Oryzias latipes: one gene and its partners. The protein of the gene in region 3 purifies or fractionates together with the protein of the main gene of each other region. This does not show direct contact. Links are inferred from orthologs where the notes say so. Each region holds a gene or a part of one and is shown on either strand. Other genes may lie near its edges.

The links. Proteins that work in one complex are often made in the same cells at the same time.
Region 1: the proteins of c-fos (region 3) and cop1 purify together in Homo sapiens (affinity purification with mass spectrometry; 4 studies listed by BioGRID and IntAct, counting the BioPlex papers as one, with this or other methods). This does not show direct contact. The link is inferred for Oryzias latipes from reciprocal best matches to the Homo sapiens genes FOS and COP1.
Region 2: the proteins of c-fos (region 3) and stk40 purify together in Homo sapiens (affinity purification with mass spectrometry; 3 studies listed by BioGRID and IntAct, counting the BioPlex papers as one, with this or other methods). This does not show direct contact. The link is inferred for Oryzias latipes from reciprocal best matches to the Homo sapiens genes FOS and STK40.

The regions. Positions count from the first base shown.
Region 1 is NC_019875.2:19,746,904-19,753,284, forward strand, and holds the end of cop1 (E3 ubiquitin-protein ligase RFWD2), read right to left. Parts: coding exon 6,340-6,381; intron 6,171-6,339; coding exon 6,062-6,170; intron 5,954-6,061; coding exon 5,872-5,953; intron 5,799-5,871; coding exon 5,682-5,798; intron 4,210-5,681; coding exon 4,092-4,209; intron 3,580-4,091; coding exon 3,455-3,579; intron 3,377-3,454; coding exon 3,216-3,376; intron 3,075-3,215; coding exon 3,030-3,074; intron 2,750-3,029; coding exon 2,732-2,749; 3' UTR 1,710-2,731; downstream 1-1,709. Other genes in the region: xrn1 (5'-3' exoribonuclease 1), read right to left, coding at 345-419. UniProt on the Homo sapiens protein: E3 ubiquitin-protein ligase that mediates ubiquitination and subsequent proteasomal degradation of target proteins.
Region 2 is NC_019874.2:23,402,018-23,408,579, forward strand, and holds part of stk40 (serine/threonine-protein kinase 40), read left to right. Parts: intron 1-909; exon of another isoform or gene 910-1,139; intron 1,140-2,279; exon of another isoform or gene 2,280-2,379; intron 2,380-4,186; 5' UTR 4,187-4,195; coding exon 4,196-4,313; intron 4,314-4,782; coding exon 4,783-4,868; intron 4,869-5,529; coding exon 5,530-5,673; intron 5,674-6,489; coding exon 6,490-6,562. UniProt on the Homo sapiens protein: May be a negative regulator of NF-kappa-B and p53-mediated gene transcription.
Region 3 is NC_019882.2:17,150,837-17,158,076, forward strand, and holds c-fos (c-fos protein), read right to left. Parts: upstream 4,078-7,240; 5' UTR 3,933-4,077; coding exon 3,798-3,932; intron 3,440-3,797; coding exon 3,218-3,439; intron 3,123-3,217; coding exon 3,015-3,122; intron 2,902-3,014; coding exon 2,636-2,901; coding exon of another isoform or gene 2,600-2,635; coding exon 2,236-2,599; 3' UTR 1,752-2,235; downstream 1-1,751. UniProt on the Homo sapiens protein: Nuclear phosphoprotein which forms a tight but non-covalently linked complex with the JUN/AP-1 transcription factor. In the heterodimer, FOS and JUN/AP-1 basic regions each seems to interact with symmetrical DNA half sites.

The DNA.
Region 1 (6,381 bases), on a different chromosome or scaffold from region 3:
TAATATGTAGATTTTATTGAAATTACAAATAAAAAGCAATACATTCATAAAATTTGTATATTTAGAGTGTATGACTCACTAAAGTAACTCAAATAAAACATTAGGGCGCTAAACTTAGTGTAGGAATATAAACGACGTACGTCGTACTGAATGTCAGTCTGGTATGTCGTGCGTTTAGAATTATTTTATCACGTGTGGCATTATTTATTTATTTATTTTTTCAAAAATAATGCTCTTAAGAGTGAGCAAAGGCGGCTCAAAGTTTCGCCTCCAACTGTAGCAAACGGCTAGCTATGCTAAAGGTGTGAATTGTGAAACAATCGACCCTGACTGCTCGGTCCTACCTGATGTTCCTTGACAACTTCACTGAGACAGGGGTAGCGCTCCGAGATCCAACGGTAAAATTTGGGTACTCCCATCTTCGTCACAAAGCTCTAGACTGTAAAAATGTTAACACTGAAAGGTTATCTCTAAGTACTCTCAAATGTTTGACTCGGTAACATCAGAACTTGCTTTAGAGTCCGGCTTTGTTTCCGTTTGCTAGCTAGTTGTCCATCCGCTAAACTACTCCGCATGTATTTGGAAAACAACAGTAAAACATAAGTTCCGCTCACCAGTTTCCTTTGGCGTATTTTTCAGTTGACAAAAATCTTTTCGATTGAAGATTTACGAAAAAACACGTTTTATCTTTGTACGCGGTTTCTAAAAATAATACACAACACAGTGTACTTTGTAAGATAGTTAAGTTCCATATTTTTGTTTATTTTTGAACGGCTGCGTATAGTGTTACTAGCACATAAATTCGTTTGGCTTTCCATTTATTTGTGTTGAACTTTTGTTTGTGTTGTAGGCATTGCGACAACTTCAACAGATGAACCTAAGCGGAAAAACACCGTTTTTCCTTTTTACATTAATTTTCAGGCTATTATAATTTAAAGAATGTAATTTTTCTGGTAAATTGTACTGAAAAGTCAAAAGAGAAATGCAATTTTGTATTTTTTTCTTGAGTCGAGAGCTGAAAATATTATTTTAGTATAGCTCTGCATAAAGTACAGTTTATCCATCTGTATGTTGGTTTTTCAAAATGAGACTAAAAATTAAATATAGAAAAACATTACTATACTAAGGGTAAAAACAAAAAATATACAGTATTTGGTAATACAGCTCTGGCATTCTAATAGGCTTTCAATATCTTTTTAAATATAGTACTTGACATCTAGAAATAAAATCGGCCTTCTTCTTGCTTGCTTTTAGGAGCATAATTATATGTATTTATCATTTTGGGTAATACTTAGTCCCTAGTTTTAACAACAGTAGATTTTTTTTCCTTTTATGAATTGATAATGCATTTTACTGAAATTATTTTCAGCATTGTGGTAAAGGTTTCAATTAAACATTTTATTATTCGTGTTCTTAACGGTGAGTCAGGTCTGTTGGAAATTCTGTATATTCCCGTTTTAATTATTTGTTCTGTGTACTGTTAATATTCTCATTCAGGTAAGTAGCTCTGTGGCCAGGAACAAATTTCCTCTCTGAGGACAAAGTTTACCTCACCTTAGTACAATTACGTATGTGCTAACCTCAACTTTTTATCTTAGATTTCCTCATTTGTACTAAAAAAAAAAAGCTGGTTTGTCATATTTTCCAAGCAACCTATTGCATTGTAATTAAAGAGAATATCAAAGACTTTCAAAAAGCACACATACCAAAATGTTTTAAATAATTTATTGTTAGGCAAATACAAAACACCTCTCTTATTCATCAATCATAAAATTGGCAGATCCTGGTGGCTTCTTCAATCCTTCCATTATTCTTTTTTTACATGTCCTTGTGGAACTCCACAAAAACTGGTAGCGGCGCCCAAAATGCAATGATACTCAGTTCATGCCTGCAGTTGTGCATTAAAAACAAAATAAAAAGAAACATCCCAGTGCTACTTTGAAAGAACTTCATCTGAGGCTTTGTGGTTATCAGTTTACAACAGTCCTAATCCATCAAAAAGTCCAGTTCCACTAACTGCAGGTTGAATCAAGCAACAATAGCTGTGGTTATAGAAACAAACACGTGGAGTATCATTTTGTTCTGAGAAAAAGATACGCTGAGATGCTACGTTGCTTTTGCCAGAAAAACTGCTGTACACTTGACAAAATGAAATTCAAGTCACCTTTATTAAAAAAAAAAAAAAAAACCCTGCTGTCTCCCAATCTGGAAAAACAAACAAAATATACAACAAAAAGAACAACACAAATAGGGAATAAACTGGACAGCTGACAGAGGGGGAATTTAAGTTTGCATGTTTTGTTTTGTGCTTTGGCCTTTAAAAGACAAAATGCAGGAGGTTGCATTTATCTGAATTGCCTTTGACAGAAATGGTTAAAGAGTTAAAAAGTCAAAAGTAAAAAAATAATAAGATTTGGTATAAAACCAGAGAGAGGTGTTGTATTGTGGCTGACAAACTGTGACGGATTAGGAACAAAACCGCTTTCCTCTGTTTTGTGCCCCAGCTTGGTTCTTTAACGGTAAAGCTCAAACGCCGGCACATCTCCGCCTGCTGTACTGGTGCCACGGGCCGACATTTGTCTGATGTCACACGCACACAAAGCTCAGTGAAATAACAGATGGATTCCGTTTCTTTTTGCTCCTCCGTTGATCAGCAGGCGATCTCCCCATTCACGGCTGACCCCTGCCCCCCTAAAGATAGAGGTCATGATAGCCCAAGCCTGGCAGGAATTCAGACAAGTTCAAGAACCTGTCAGGGAGGAATAGATACAGACATTTAGATGTTTTAAAGACATTTTTTTCTTTATTAAGCAATTTTTTGACAAACCACTCCCCCTCCCCCCCCCCCCCCCCCCAAATAATTGCAATTGTATTTTTTTTCCTGGTAAATTCTCATTAAATGGGAGGAATTATGCACTGATACTGGAATAATAAAAAAAAACTCAAACAGATGTTTTTAAGAGCTGTAAACATTTAACGGTACTATTAAAAAGAAAACATCTTTTTTGTATATTTTTTAAAACACCAACCTTGATAGTTCCTTGACTGTTCGCAGCAATGAGAACATTTGACTCCTAAAAGCAAATCATTTTGAATAAATCAGAGGTATTTTATGTAAATGAAAGCCTTGTTTAAAATATTGACAAAAGCCTTAAAGTATTGCTTACAATGGCAGAATTGAAAAAAGTATAGTTGACCAGTGAAGTGACACTTACTCCATCAGGCAGGGCTCTCCAGCAGACGGCACTCACAAACTCATTGGTGTCATCTTCTTTCTTGTCTTTGTCCAAAACACTCTTCACCGTGTCGAACTTGAATGTTAACAGTGTTTTGGAAAGTCCTTTGTAATACAGGTACAGGGAGTTGTTCTCACTTCCTAAAATGGACATAAAAACACTTTATATTAATGGCTAGTCTTTAAACATCAGCGTCAACGTTTCAAATGAACGTATACCACAGGCAACATAGTCTCCATTTGACGCCAGTCCAACAAAGTTCTTCTCGTTGATGTGACCCTTAAAGGAGCGCAGGCAGTGAGGTTTGTTGACGTTCCAAAGCTTCAGCTGGCTGTCCGTCGAACTATGAACACAGAACATGTACTCTTTATATGTGTGTGCACAAATCCTTCTTTATCCTATTTTTTTAGTTTTGGTTATTAAGTAGTTTCTTTACAGTTTTAAAAGCATTGTTTGAGAAGTCTAAATATGCAAGAAAGCTGCTAAAAATATGAAAGCGTATTTTAATCAATTTAGCTTCTGTGAAAGAAATAAACTTAGCGGCTCTCGTTTAAAGCTTTAAAATGTGTTTTTCTCACCTCTGTTCATGTGTTATATAGGATTATATAGGAACCAGACTAAATGTTAAATATTTGTTGATCTGTTTTGCCACTAGCACAGGATGATCTCTATTAATTGTATTATTAACATAAAAGTTTTAAAATTAATAAAATTAAAGTCCTTAATAGAAAACGTTAAGCAGTAAGACGTTGTCTGTCATTGCATTTTTAAAATATACTAAAATATTTAACATTTAAAAACAAATACACGATTACTTAAAACATTAAAGATGGAAGCAAAGGTAAACAGACTTACGCAGAAACGATTTCTTCCCCATTTACAAACTTAGCGTAGGACACGGCCTTCCTGTGGCCTTTGAAAACCATGATTGGCTGCTTAGTGTTGCGGAGATCGTAGTAGTGGACACAGTGGTCTGCGGACAAAAGAGATAAATTTCACAAAATGTTCAAATTGGGCCAGAAAATGATGAAGCACAACTGTTGTTGCTTTCTGTCAATAAAAACATGATGGTATTAAACCACAAACATTACATTTTTTCCTGATCTGCAACTCTGTGGTTAGTTTTGGTACTAAAAAAAGAAAATTATTTTAGTCTTTTATTTTCCAATCTCCTAGCTGCACTCCGAACGTAAACCAAGAATGAAAACTTACAGCAAAGTACCACACAGTTTCTGCTCAGAGTTAGAATACTTACACGAATACCCCTATAATAAAATATCTATGATCATTCATAGATATTCTTCTGTCAGGACATAATAAAGTTCTTTTGGATTGTTCAGGATTAATTGTCTTTCAAACAAACAAAAAGAAAAACAGTTGAGATGTGATGCTGAATAAAATAAAAGAAATACAATATTATATAGCAATGACAGAAAACATTTTTAATGCTCCTTAACTGAGGAAAAACCTTGAATATGTTAGCGTGACACTACATTGTCCCTTTACTTTCTAAAAAGAATAAAACACTGTTTGTATCCAGTTCTGTTAAAAGGAGTTAGGCTCTCTCTCTCTTTGTTTAAAATCAATTTGTATTTTGTATCTAAATAGCCGAAATTGCAAAATCTTAAGCGAGAGCAACAGTTCTCTTTTCTTTCTAAAAGCTTGTCTGTTTTGACTTTTTTTATATATAAATTCCACCTACATTATGCAACATTTTCAGGGGTTAAAAAAAAGTGCTTTTTGTTGTGAAAAATTAGAAGTAAAAAAAAAAAACAACTTAAGAAATTACCTCTAGAATTTCTTTACAGAGCAAAAATCAAACTATGAAAAAGATCTGGTAGAAGAATGCACTAAAATTGACTTAAAAAGTCTCCAAAGACATTTTTAAAGAATTATTATAATTCCTGAATGACGAGAGTTTAGTGCCCATAGAATTCTGAAATGTAATATTTTATGGTTACCAACCAAAGAAATTCAGAAATGCAGCCGATGACAATCATACCTCCCTACCCAACTTTGACTGAAGAACATATGAAAATTATATCATTTTATTTTTAACAAAATCTTTAATTTTATAGAGTACAAGCATTTCAGAAGAGAAACTAGACCCCCAAAATACTTGTGATAAAAGTGAGTGGTTTATAATTTGAGTTGGGGTTGTTGAAGGTAATTTGAACGATTCCACTTTTACAGTTTTTTAATTAATTTAGTAATATTATATTGACGACAAAAGCTGTTAAGGATTTTGCCAAACGCTTTATTCAATAAGCACACAACATGAACCAAAATAAGAGCAGAGTTTAGTTCCTTCTTGCAGAATACAGAAACAGAATAACTAAAGTAGATGTGGGAAGATATTTCAATTAATATAACCTCTTAACAAATGCAGAAAAACACTAAACCAACTGAAAAATAAGCAGATAAAGTGAGGATTGAAGAAATTACCTGCACAGCCGAATGCCAGATGATACCTGGATGTTGGGCTAAATTTAACGCAGCATACGTTAGCTTTAGCCTCGATGCTCGCTACTGAGTTGTCCAGATTGGTTGACCACAGCTTTACTGAAAAAGAATGTTGGAAATCTCTAACACGATTGATGAGGATGACGTGTTCAGACGAGGGCCAAATCTTTACCTTTAGCATCATCAGAGCCGGAAGCTAAAAGTTTGGGGTCCATCAGATTAAAGTCGACACTCCAACACCTTTTTTCATGTTCCTGAAAAGAACAACAGTGGAGGGTGTCACTGCAGATTAGGCTAATCAGTCAGAAGATAAAAGGATATGAACAGTTTTATCACAACACTTTCAACTCTAGTCATCACACCTGGTAGACTTTGGACCGCTGGCCGGTGAATCCATCCCACAGAATGACGGTTCCCTCATAATCGCTGCTAGCCAGAAGGTTCTTATGATAACTACTCCAGCTGATGCAGCTGCAATGAAGAAACAGATCTTCAAATGTAGATTCTTGTCAACCAAAGCTGGCAGAAATTTTTTTTTTTCCTGTTCATATGTGCATATCTGAAATTCTTTTTTTTTTTTCATTCATGGAGCACAGTTTTAAGCAAAACCTAGTCTCTGTCGAGGAATGAATTCCTTTACCTGATTTTGGAATTGCAGGTCATTTCGTTCACAGGATAGTGG
Region 2 (6,562 bases), on a different chromosome or scaffold from region 3:
TCAGTTATGATTCAGTTTCCTCTTTCAAGAGTGTGGGCAGGGCACTGTAAAGCCATTGCCTGGTATGCATTTCATGTGGCCGGGGGCACATGTTGTGCTGAGTCAAGACAGGAGGACCAGTGCGACTCAAATCAAGCTCTGCCATTTGGGTTTCCCTCTCTGTGTCTGTCACATCTGCCCACTTGTTGGAAACTGGTAGCTGGGGGTGGACTTCAGGATCAATCAGCCAGTCTAAATTGGGAATATAGGTGGGCTTGCTGAAATGTCAGCAACTCAGAAATGTGCTTACACACCAAATGAGTCACAAACTGCCTCTTGGAGAGCTCAGTTGCATGTTAAAAGACCATTCCTCCAACAGTCTTAAACAAATGTCACTACTTATGAAGCATTTTGACAGCAAAAGTATCCCAGTGATATTAAAGTCTCCTGTATTATTCAGAGGACATATTTAGGGTGTGATGTCTCACTTATCAAGTTTCACTTACTCATTAACTCCTGACACTGTGAACATGCTGGTTTTGTAATATTTTACACCAATTCTTTGCGTGGAAGCTACTTGTTTACAATAGAAGTACTAGTTTGAGACAGAAAGGGCTATACATCTTATTATCCTAGATTTTTATTTTATTGTAAATTATTTCAAACTTTTTGGACTAGACAATCGATTTTGTTTTCATTCTAATTTTTTTAAGTACATAGTTTTTATCTTAAATTTAGATAAACTTAAATTCCTATTTTTTAAAAATTGCTTTTTGTAAACGTATTCAACTCTTCCAGTACTGAGTACTGTCATGATGTAATGGTTTCATTTTGCAACTTTTATTATGCAGAGAATGTCATCATCGGTGTGCAGCGGCTGTTGCCATTGGTTGTAGGAAGCTGTCAATCAAATCTAAGTGTGCGTCACTTCCGTTGTCAGGTGGTGCTGTCGCTGTGGAAAGATGCGATCAGCTTGGAGCGGAGGCTTTTCTTTAATTGCTCATTTCAGTCTTAGAAGCTAAGCAGCCCGAAAATAAGGCGCCGTGTCGTTCGTCGTTTGAACGAGGAGCTCCCCACACACCCACCGTGGCCGTGAACCAAGAAATGTCCATGTTTTAAAAGCAGTCAACGCAAATCTTTCCCGGTGGTTTTGGCTCGAGGTAAGCGAGGGGGGTCGACTGCGTTGCTATTTAGCTCTCGCGGCACTGTTAGCCAGCTGAAGTGTTGGCTACTTTGTTTAAATGGCCTCCCGGCTGCTACAGACCGCTCCGACTTGACGTTAGCCAGCGTTGTTTGCCAACAAGCATATTTCAACCTTTCTGGTAAACAAAGGAACACGGTGAAGAAGCAGCGTCTGTTTGAGCAGTTTGGTTGAAGCAATGGTCTTAGTTCGCACGGGAAGCTAAACTCTGTCTTCTTTCGCTGCAGTGCAGTGCGTCCCACTTTGTCTGGCTAAGTCAGTGCAACCCGTTTGTAGCCTCGTCTCCGGTCAGTATATTCTGGTTTCGTCTCGTGTTAAGTTTTGCATTCCCTAGCTTGGTGTCGGGTTTTTAAAAATATATATATTAATAAGGACATACAGGAAGAAATGCAGCGTAAAAGGTCAGTGTTTTCGTGTAACACCCACGTCCGCAGTGCAATATTAACCGTTCAAAACAGGATATATTTTAAACATTTCATCTTTCAGTTGGTGGATTGTGGGTTGTCGCTAAGTAAACACCGCGTTAGCGTTGACTCGTCATTGTTCACACTGCCTGCTGCACCAGCACAACTCAAATCTCCAGACTTTGCAACTCAAAATGGCACCAAACAGTGTAATAGTGGCTGTGCATTCGTTGTTATTTTGGTCAGGTGGTTTCGGTTTAACCTTGTGTCCTCCCCGTGGTCCAGTGATCAAGGGCATTTACTCTTTGCAGTAGAATAGGGTTTATTTTAACAAAAGCTATAAAGTAGAGCTCATGAGCTTAAATGTATTTTCCCTAACTCTTTTGTTTGAATATAAATGCAGATGACAGAAGTTGCATTCTTTAATTTGATTAAATTAGTAACTCCATTAAATTATCTATTTTTTGCTGCTCTGATTATTATTATTATTTTTTTTTTTGCAGTCCTTTTTTTTGCAGAGCCAGACAATAGGCATCAAGTCTGGGTGGAAGAAACTCGAGACACCTACATGGCCGTTTTGTTCTGCTACTATTTAAGGAGCCCACATTTCTCGTGGGCACTCGCAGCATGTCTCCTCCTTTTGTATATGATATGATTCAGAGGCTCTATCTGCTCCTGTCCTCCCTCTTGTGCAGGCAGAGGCCGCCTCGCTTGCCAGATCACTGGCTGTGCAGAGGAACACAGTGGTGTCAGAAAGGGATCGCTATGTGCTGTCATCGTGCTGATGTCATTTAGGTCAGTGTGCAGACGTTGGTTGTGTTGACCTTTTGCTTTTAAGATCTGTGTCTGGGTTTGGCTCCACAGCTCTGTAGCAGGTTTTCAGTCGGTAGATAAAATGCCTTGGGTCTGTGTGTTGCGTTGCATATTCTGTCAGTGACTCAGTGAAGTCTTATAAGTCCAAGGTGCATGAGTTACATTTTTTTTTATTTACTGATTATGTGCCGGAATAAAATGGGGCCTGCCGGTTCTTGCCGAAGGTGTTTGCCTAAAATATTTATCAGCCTTCCTACTTCTCGGATGAAAAAAAATATTTGTCTGGAAGTATCGCAAAGCGTGTTTACTTTAGCATCCGCCGGAGGTTCCCACCGGGCAGCTTCACAACAACTGCAAGTCCTGATTGTCTACTTCTTGCATCCAACAGATTTGCACTATTTTCAGCATGACTTTGTGTCACTCTGACTTGCACTACAAATGTTGTCAGAAAACCTCAGTTCATCAGACTCAGTGGGTGATGACTAGTGGAGATGGAGACAGATGGGTGAGAGACATGATGATGACACTGTCTGCTGTCTGGGATCACAAAAAGCCTCATGGAAGTGAGAATTCATACGAGCCCTTACCGACTGCCAACTGTCCAAACCTTGTCTGTGCCCAAAAACACCAACTGGCGAGTGCCTTTGTTGGTTTTGAAACAGGAAGATGGCCTGAGTGGTTGGGAGAAAGGGGGGAAAATATGGAATTTTTTGCACTCATAACAACATGTTTTTATTTTTATGTTAGTTTTCCTCTAAATGCCTTGTTGGTTGTTGAGCCGGATTGTACTTGAAATGGAACTGCTAAACTAAACAGACCCCAGCTGTCATTGTTTTGTTTTTTTTGTATCTGTCATTATCTCTTATTTTGCTTAAGTTATTTTCCAGTTTTGTTGTTATTTTTGGTTATTCCACATATTGAACAAGTGAGCAACGTCTAAAGAAAACTTTGGAAGACTGCGGGATGAATCATTCCTTTCAGTTTAGTGCACTACTTCCCCATTACTGGAAGCAGATGGGGTTTCACCTCACGGTAACTCAGTATTAAGAAAACAAACCTTTCACATCTGATTTCTGGGAGGTGCTTGCGATCTGGCGTGCTGAGTTCAGCTTGTTAAATGTTGATGCACTGTCACTGCTTAGGGTTCCATTTAAATGTGCTTCCTTACTGTTGTGCAGAGCTCTCGCTTTGTTGGGACATGTAGGTTTTATTTGTTTTTGTTTTTTTAGGGGCATCTGCATAGATAAGACGGCTGAAAAGATTCTGAGTTAAGCATGCAGATTAAGGGCATAAGATTTTTTCTTTTTTTCTAAACCCACGTCCACTGAGGCCGGAACAGATTAGAGAATCAAATTTAAACGCTTCAGTTTCAAGAATGTTGTGCAATGGCCTTTTATTTGCGTGCAAGTGCCCTCCGTTTTAAATTGCAGATTGTGACACGCTCTCTTTGCTTTTGGGGGGGATTGAATGTGAGGTGTTGCCCTTGCCGCCTGCAGCCATTATTCTAAATGGAGCTGTAATGGCCTCATCTTCACACTGAGGTGGTTAAATGTGAGGGGAGGGATTTTTTTTTGTAATGGGTTAGGTGGAGCTGCCCTTAACTTTACCCCCTTCACACCTTTTATTTTCATGAAGCATTACTTTCTAAGAAACTACATTTGTAAACTCTTAAAAAGTTGTCTGGAAATCAATTATTAAAACGTCATCCATTCACAGTTTGAAGCCCCTTGCATGCACTTGAACTTTACTATCTTTATCCCTTGAACTAATCAGATTTGTTCTCCCGCAGAGCTCCAGGATGTCCAAGCGGCGCTCGTCAGAGAGGGGGGCTGGAGAGACATCAGGCAGAACCAGCAAGCTGCAGTGCACAGGGATATCTGGCAGTAATGCCAAGAGGGCCGGCCCCTTCATCCTTGGTATGGAAGCGAGCTGCTTTTTGTTGTTTTTTTTTCTTTCAGAAAAGTCGCAGAAACCTATTGAGGTAGAAATGTGTGTGGTTCAAAACTGTAACCCTGCGTGAGTCAGAAACGGAGGAAATGATTCTGTGAGGTTTTGGGGTGTCTTGTGTTTGCACAATGGACGCTGATGCAGGGCTAAGACAAGAATGCTAAGAATGTCGCTGATCCCTATGACATTTGCCAGAAAGGCTTCAGTGTGGGTCGATGCAAGGCTTCTTCCTAGAAAATGTGTTTTAATCATTTTTTTCAAACACAAGACATCTACACCACAAAACCTCCTCATAATTTCTAAATTTTGCACAAAAAAACGTATTTTACACTAAGGCTGAGTGCAAACTCAGGACATAGAAAGTTGTGGTGTGAGCACACACTTCAGCATGTAGGCTGCCTTTTGGTCTCACAGCTGTTGCTTTTCTAATCCTTGCAGGACCGCGCCTAGGCAACTCACCAGTACCGAGCATAGTGCAGTGTTTGGCCAGAAAAGATGGCACAGATGATTTCTATCAGCTCAAAGTAAGTTTGGTTTCAGACTCGCATTATTGTTTTGTTGGTTTGGTCATGCTTGCCCTTCAAAAGAACAGTAAAAATGAAAAGATTTTTTTTAATTTGAAATGGTTTATTTCAAGCAATCAAGTAAGAATAATACACAAAAACAATACAATCAGCTGTTATACATTCATACAAAGACCTATACCAAACCTAGGATAATTAGACATAAAATTAAATATTGCTTGAAAGGGAGTGGAAGGAAGGAAATTTATATAATCCCACCCCAGTTCTACCATTTTTATTACATGATTTATCAACTTTTATCGGACAAAATTAAGAATCCTTAGGTATCAATAAAGCACATGACAAAGATGAATTGCTTAATTATTATGTAAAAAATAGACATAACTATTTTCAAATAGTTATGTATCCAATGCATTGTGTGATGGTTTGGCACGCATGTCTTGGTGCAGATTTTATCGCTTCTTTTTCAGTCAAAGCAGCACAGTAGGCACTAAAGGCTCCATACCGTTGGAGTGCTCATCTTACTTTAAACAATCCCAGCAGCTTTGATCATTTAGACTTTTGAACTCCATGATTGGTCCTTCAATAGTTTAATGAATCTGCAAAAAGGTCAATTGAAGCTCAGTGGTTTTCTTGTGTTTCTGTGGTGTGTCCCTGACAGATCCTGACGCTGGAGGAGCGGGTGGACTCTGCTGGGGAGACCCAGGAGGAGAGGCAGGGGAAGATGCTGCTGCACACAGAGTATTCTCTCCTTTCTTTGTTGTACAACCAGGATGGGGTGGTCCACCATCATGGTCTTTTCCAGGTACTTTAGAACAGTTTAAGCTACATTTCTGTTAATGGCTTTGCAATATGTTTTTTAGCACTGAATGTATGTGATTGGCACAAGGAGGGTGTTTCACTCAGTGCCGTGTAGGCGTGCATTCTGTGTAATTGAGATTTGTAAATGCAGTAACATTACCATAGAGAAGTGGCTGCCTTTTTCAGTTTTCAGTGTAGCTTCACAGCTCAAGTACAAGAAGTTGTACAATCTCACTGTCAGTACTCCACAGTTGGCTTGTATTTACTTCAGCCTTTCATTTTTTTTTCCATGTCAAGTTAGATATTCATTAAAAGCAATATTTACCTGCGGCATCCTTTCACAATGACCTCCCCCACCTGCCTGTCTGTCTGCTCCTTCCTTTACTGTTGTAATTCTTTCAGCATTCTCTCCTTCTGTCATTCTGTATATTCCCTCCCCTGTGTAAGCTTGATATAAAGAAGGGTTCAATGTGTATCTTAAACCTGAAGCTTGATACACAAATCAATCATTTAGAAGCCACAAAGACTTCTAAGTGGCAGATTAGAAAAGAGGCAGGGGACTCTCTGTTGGTTCCAAAAATGCCACTGAAGCCTAAGAAATGCACTCACAGCTGATGGACGTAACCTGTTCTATAACAGTACTCCTACAGTTGTTTTACTTCATCATTTTTTCGTTTTTAGCATTAATCCATTTGCTGGACCTTCCAAGTTTGTGCATTTTTTAAAATTCGTTTTGTTTTCCAACACAAAATCCTTCAGAAACATTTTAGTGTCTTTTCTAAGTTTTTTCTGACCCTTCTTTTTAATCTTTGTCCTCCAGGACCGAGCCTGTGAAATCGTGGAAGACCTCGAGGCCAACAAAATGCGAAAGATGAAGAAGCGCATCTGCCTCG
Region 3 (7,240 bases):
GAAATCTTTCCACCTTTATCCACCTTTGTCATGGTAGGGAGAACACGTCAAAGTAAGGGTGGGGTCATCTAAGACAGCACAACAGGGAAAGACTGAATGACTTCCTAAAGCTGTACCTTCCTTCATTAGAAAAGTGGCAGAGGAAGAGTTTATGTGAAAACAGAGCCAGTCCCAACAGAGCTTTTGTTCTTGGCATGTAGGCGAAGTGTTTCATCATTGCTGTTCTCAGTTTCAGAGGCTGGGATCTGAGTCTGTCTCCCTCCTTGCCATCCTTGTATACCCGTCATTCTCTCCTCTCCTCCTCCTCCTCTCCCTGCATCAGCGTACGCTGGCTGGTTTCTCCCAAGGGTTGCGGCACCAACGCAGGCTGGCGTCACAGCAGTCTAATTTTACTGCTGTTGATGCTGCTGTTATCGCAGCAATAGGCACCTGCTGTTATTTTTGCCGCTGCCTCGTCTCCCCGGGCGCAGCGATGAGACGTTTATAGATTTTCCTGGCACTGCGTGGTCACACCAAGAAGTTTCATGAAGGAAAAAAGAGCTTTAGCGCAAGCAAAAATTGACAAGCAGAATCCGCCTGTTATGCAACAACTGCTTGGCATCAAAGAAAGGGGGTCAAAACAGATTTATTCCAAGCATCAAGTGGTTTTAAAGCATGATATTTCACTTTTTAAGTATTAAAAGACCAGATTTCTTTTAACGTGTCACCCAATAACATGAGGCAATAAATGCTTAGACATTGTCTTGTGCAACGTAAATGAGTGTGACCTAAATGACTTAGTCTGCTGAAATTCTGTCCTCACACAGAATTTCCTGTCATAATTGGGCAACCTGCCTTCTGATGACATGAGGAAAAGCACTGATGAGGGACGAGCAAACATGAAAGATGATTAAAATCCTATGACAAAATTTACAAGGAGTGCACAAAATCATTTTCACTCAACATCTCCAACACACAAACCATTTCAAATCGTAACTTGAGAAGTGTTAAGTTAATTTGTAAATATGAAATTGTGTAAAACTTTATATTACAACATATTAATGTCTTAAATTTGTTTGATATATGTACTTTTTTAAATTGTTTATTTTGTTTTTACTGATTGAAATAAACCAAACAGGAAAAAAATAAAGAATTAGATTTTTTCTTTCATTCTGATATAAACTGAAGTGCATGAACCCTGCAGATCAAACAAAACGAAATAAAATAAAAATATTGTATTCAGAATGATTTGCTTTTGGTACCAGCGAAACAAGCCCTGCTCAGGCACGGTCAATCAAAATAAACGTAATCTTGTATCCGCTCTGTTGTCTCGTCTTTTTCGGTCAGAACGGCTAATGACTAATTTACCAAACCAGCGTAGTTATTGTTCCTTTCCGTTGGATATACCGACAGTTTCGGTGGCTCTCTTTGCAGAGAAACCCCTGAGATGTGCGAATATAAGCGGAAGTGAGAAAAAAAAAAAAAAAAAAAAGAGCCGTCAGCCCGCAGCACAGCCACCGACTCCACTGGAATTCTATATTTGGGCACGGAAGTGCAACGTGATTGCGCAGGGCGTTCAGGACAAAAAGAAAATGCAAGAGAACGCACTGACGTCAAAGCCCTGACGTACAGTTAGCCTTGGCAACAGAAGAAAAATAGCTTGAAGCTACTGACGCTTACGAAAGCGGAAGACACTCAAATTAAACCTGTGTATAATATCTCAACATTATTCTCGATAGGTATATGATTAAAGTGACAATCAGGCAAATAACTGCGTTAATATATATTTTTTATTTGCACAACATTCGTCTGTAAAAATAAATAAATACAAATTTCATAAATTACAATGTTTTCACAGAAAACTTCACAGTCTGATGGACTTGCAGACCATGGCACCACAGCAGTTTAATGAAAAAAATAAAATAAAAAAAATCTACTTTGACATTTAAATAACAAAAAACAAACCAGAATTATACAGCTATTGCTCTGAAAACACATTTATTGACAACAAGTATTGTTATCTAGCACCATAAATATAATAGTAACTTAGAACAACTAGGTGTTTGTTTTTTAAATATATATAAATCATGCTTAATAACTTGCTACATTGGTGTTAATAGGCAAGTAGAGATAAAGGCAGGTAACATATGATTTGCCATCTGGTGCATTCCTGTTCCAAAGCTCATGCCTCTGCACAGTTTGATAATATTTCAAGACTTGATGGGAGGAAATACTTTTTTTTTTCATTGAAAGTCCTTAAAGAGTTAGCAGGGTGGGTGAGTTTAGAGAGTCTGAGGGATGGTCATTGCTGTTGCTTCCCCTCCTGTGTGCAACGCCACAGGTGGGGAAGGTCTCAGCTTCTGGGAAGTTGAACACCAGAGAGAACGTGTTGGTTGTGCAGGCTGGAGTACAGGTCACCACTGGTGTGCACAGGGGCTCAAAGTCAATGTTGGTTGAAGAGGCATGAAGAGGCTCCCATTCCTGGTTACTGTAGAGGGAGCTGGAAAGGTCAACCTCTGGCACAGACTGTGCCGTCTTTATGTCCGCTTTTTCCAGCAGGTCCAAAGACTCCTCCAGAATGGAAGCCTCGAGGTCTGTCATCTTGACAGTGCTGTCGGAGGTGGTGGTGGTCGTGGTGGTCGAGGTGGTGGTGGAGAGGACGGAGCTGGAGAAAATAGAGTTGGAAGTTGGAGGGATGGTTTGCTGGCTGGAGGTAAATGTGGGCATGGAAGACTCTGTGGTGGAGAGGTATGGGTGGGTGGAGGAGATTGAGGTCAGGGGAACCTCGGTCTGCAGCTCTGATGGGATTTTGCAGATGGGCTGGTGGGCAGCCAGGATGAACTCCAGCCGTTCCTTCTCCTTCAGCAGGTTAGCAATATCATTCTGCAGACTGGACTTCTCATCCTCAAGCTGGTCAGTTTCCTATCAGATGGGAAAGAAAGAAAGTGTCACTTAGTGGGATGTTGGATTGGTTATTAAGCTCTGGGAAAGAACACATTTTCAATAAGTGAGGGTAAATCTGAAGGGATACTTACAGCTTGAAGGGTGTCTGTGAGCTCTCGCCTCCTGTTACGGCATTTAGCTGCTGCCTGCTTATTTCTCTCTCTGCGGATTCGTCTCTTCTCTTCCTCCTCAGGGCTTATCTGCAAGAACAAAACAACAAGTTGAGACTCCAGCTCTAAAAACACATTTCAGCTGTTGCATCACTTGAGATTTAGAAAAAAAAAAGATAATTCACCTTTTCTACTTTGCCACGTTTGGAAGAGCAAGCCTTGGATGAAGACCTCAGGGATGATCTGGGGTAAGCAGGACTGGGGCTGGAGCTGTAAGGGTGAGCTCTGTGGGAGGGGGCCATTGAGGAGACCACAGGCTGGACCATCCACTGCAGGTCTGGACTTGTTGAAATGGCTGTGACCGTGGGGATGAAGGAGGCACTTGATGCTGTCAGGTCAGTGAAATCCTGAGAGAAAGAGGGAGGGGAGTCGGGAAGTTAGTGATGCTTTCAGGAGGGTTTTAAAACACTGGGCTTTAAAAATATCTCAATGATGTCAGCTCTGACGTTATGTATCCTCGGTGGAGTGAAAACTGCCTTGCTCTGTGTGCAGCAGGACAAACATGCTCCTTAATTAATTTTTTATGACTCTTTATAAAAAAAAAAAGTAGCTTGTTTTCAGGTTTTATTTATTAATTCTAAAATGTTCAAATTAATTTGAAAAAGTTTTGAATTAACCTGGCCCACTGACTTTCACTCAATTTAATTATAAATTAAAGTTCAAAAAGACTGTGAAGCCATCTAAGCAATCGTCGTTTCAATTTACCTGAGACTGAGGAGATCCCATGCTGGAGTAAGAGCCCGCAGGTGACGGGTAGTATTCCAGGTTGTCTCCGGACGGAGACGCGGTGCTGCAGCGGGAGGAAGAGTCGCAATCTGTGCTGAAGGCGGTGAACATCATACTTCCCGGAGAAAACAAGAAGGAAGATTCCAGTAAAACTCCTCTCAAAAGTGGGTAAATTCCTTTTTGTGGCTTTGAGAAAGTTCCTTGAGCGCTTCTTCTGAAATGGAGCAGGACTTTCTACTTTGCTAATCGAAGTTGATCTAGTTGCTCCAGCCGCTCAGATCGGTTTTATATCCTCCTGGTGGTGTGACGCAGCGCGGGGGAGGAGCCTAAAACCGTGAGAGTGAAAGCGCCAAACAATCACATAGCAACGCCGCTGTGGCGGGAATTATGGCTTTTGTTTCGTCAATATACAGTCATAGTTAGCGAAAACACAAGTTATTTGTAATAAAACAGCAAAAAGAAACCCGTTGGAGCTCGTTTAATGTTCAATTTGACAAGAAATGGAATATTCCATAAACAGGATCGGGATCCCCGAATCCTACGTCATTTACCATATATGGTGCATCCTGTAAAGGGGCGGACCTTGATGGGAAACACACCATCCGACATTGGCCGAGCGGCGACACGACCTTACGTAAGACAACAAACAGCGAGGCTGCTGAAAAAAAAACTGCAAAAGAAACGGGATAACGATACGAAAAGTTTGTTCTGCCCAAACAAGAACAGTAAACAAAAACTAAACATCCAGATTTTGGGGGATTAAATGTCACACGAAGTTACAGTTAAGGGAAATGATCGTTCTCTTCTGGTTTCATTTTTTTTCTCCTCTTTATCCAGTTTTGTATCTTACTTTTTTATTTGGACACATATTTAAAATGTGGAAATCTTTTTCCACGCGGTGATTTTTCTATTTGGATAAACATAATTAAGAACAGTTCAAAGTGGGACAGAAGTTCACACCCTGACCCTGATGCAATGCTTGTTCCCATAAAAGGGCGTGTTCAGCTCGCAATTGCTTTGTTTGCAATAGTTGTCCTAGACAGCGGATTAGTTTAGTCTAGGTGAGGTGTGCCCAGCTCTTCACAAAGGTCTTCCCCCAAAGGAAAGAGGGAATCCTCCACCTTTCACTTGATTTAAATCCCACTCAGCAACTGTCACCTAAAAGGGACAACAAGAGGCAGCTTTGAAGCTGGGCCAATAATCCTGACTCAGTGCTCTTAAGGAAGTTTGATAATAAGACAACCTTTTGCTTATTTATTTTGTTTTACATTTGCTTGCTGATTTGTATATGGAAATATCTATAAAATAGGTTGTTCACCTTTCGGTTCATCCCGTTATGAGTCTCCACAGCACTCAGCACAGGTGGTTTGGAAGAGAGTTTTTACGCCAGATGCCGTTCCTGACACAGGCCTGTCTTTTCAAGGCACAGGGAGACCCAGGCAGCTCATTGCACGCCCTGGGTATTGAACCCAGGTAACATGTATACAGAATTATGCTTGTTATATTTTTTTTTAATGTCTAGTTCTTATAAAAATGTAATTAAATAGCAGAAGTGTGCACCGCTATAATATGCTGCAATTACTTTACATAATTATATGTTTACATAAATTTATGATAACCCCTCTAAAGAAAAAAGTGGTAATGGCTATTATAAAATCTATAACTATTTTTGGTTTATTTTAAATGTATCAGTTTAATAATTAAAGTCTAAATTATTTACAGTGGTGTCATTGTGGTCATTTGTTCATGTCAAAGGACGACAGTGTTTCATTTATTACGACTTTTCTCCCCACTTTTGTGTTTTGTTGAACATTCCTGGTTGCCGAGCAACACCCAACCCCTTCGCGTCAGTGACGCAAAAGAAGGAACAAAGATCGTATCTGTATTGCAGAGGGACTCCTCCGTCTAATTAAATTGTAAACCGGCAGCGGTAGGATGAGAGGTGCAGAGAAAGTAGAGCAGAGTGAGAGCTCTGTCTGCGCTGTTGGTTTCACCAGCGGCTCTTTTCTGCTTGCTGACTCCATAGAGCAACGGAATGAAACCAGACACCGAGCAGCCCGGCTGGGTTGTTAGATCGCTTTGGCTGACTGGTTGCCAAGAACAGAAGCTTCCAAATGAGTCCCACTGACACTGTTTGCTTTACACTCTATCGGTTCTTTCAGGTCTTTGGGCGTGCAAAAACTGTTATGCAAAAACATAATCTACTTTTGTTTGCAGATCTTAAAATATACCTGGATTATACAGATGATAATAGTTCAAAGAAAGTCTTGCAGACATATGCATGGAGGAACAAGTCTGTAAAAGTTCATCTGGACTTAGTTTTTTAAGATCAAGGATTGATCTTTCAATTGAGAAAGCTTGTTGGATAAGAAGTGAAAGGTTTTCAATTTAAAAGTCCTGAAGTTTAAAAACTGTTTTTCTGCTTTGGAACCAGATTGATAAAAATGTTCACAGAGATTTACATGCATGACTTTTATTTAAAAATGATAATAATGAAAAAAAAGTTCCTTAATCAAACATCATATAAATAGATGGATAAATAGCAGTTTGTACCGATTGGTAATAATAAATCTAAAAATAGGAGTATCATATGCGATATACCTCAAGGTTCAATTATTGGACCAACTCTGTTTTTACTTCACATTAATGATCTATGCAAGTTATCACAAATTATGAAATTCATACTTTTTGCAGACGATACCAGCATTTTATGTTCAGGTCAGAACTTAGGCTACGTTCACACTACAGGGCTTAATGCTGAATTCCGATTTTTTTGAAAAGGCCGTTCACATTTCCAATTAAATGTGAATTTTTGTGATCTCCTGTGTGACCGTGAAATGACCCAGAAGTGACCCGCATGCGCAGAATAGTACTCAACGGTGAACGACGTCACTCGTTGTTTGCGGAAGTGGCTTACGTTAACAATGGATGTCAACAACAGTGTTGTCAACAGCGGAGTCCCTTGTAGCATTAATAAATTTATTTTCACAAAGGAGCCAGCACAATTACAATCTTCTGTTTTTAAGAAGGCATTGGAGCCGGGAGTGGGGGCGCGCATTCATGTTGTGTGTTATGGAGGAAGGAGAACGGTAATAAAAGAAGGATTCCCCCAGAATAAATGCTATTGACTCTTTATTGACCCGCTCTGGAGAATCTGAGGGTCCAAACAGGGAAGTTAACCCCAAAAGATCAGATACGTATCGGATTCAGGACCACATACCCAAGTGGCCTGGGTCGCATTTGAAAAAATCGGATCTGTATCGTTCAGACTGTCATAAAAAGATCAGATACAGGTCGCATAGGGGCAAACATCGGAAGTGTGTTGTTTCAGCCTGCAGTGTGAAGGTAGCCTAACTAGAGAAACTTCTAAGTGAAATAACTCAGGAATTTTACAAGTTAAAACATTGGTTTAGTAGGAACAA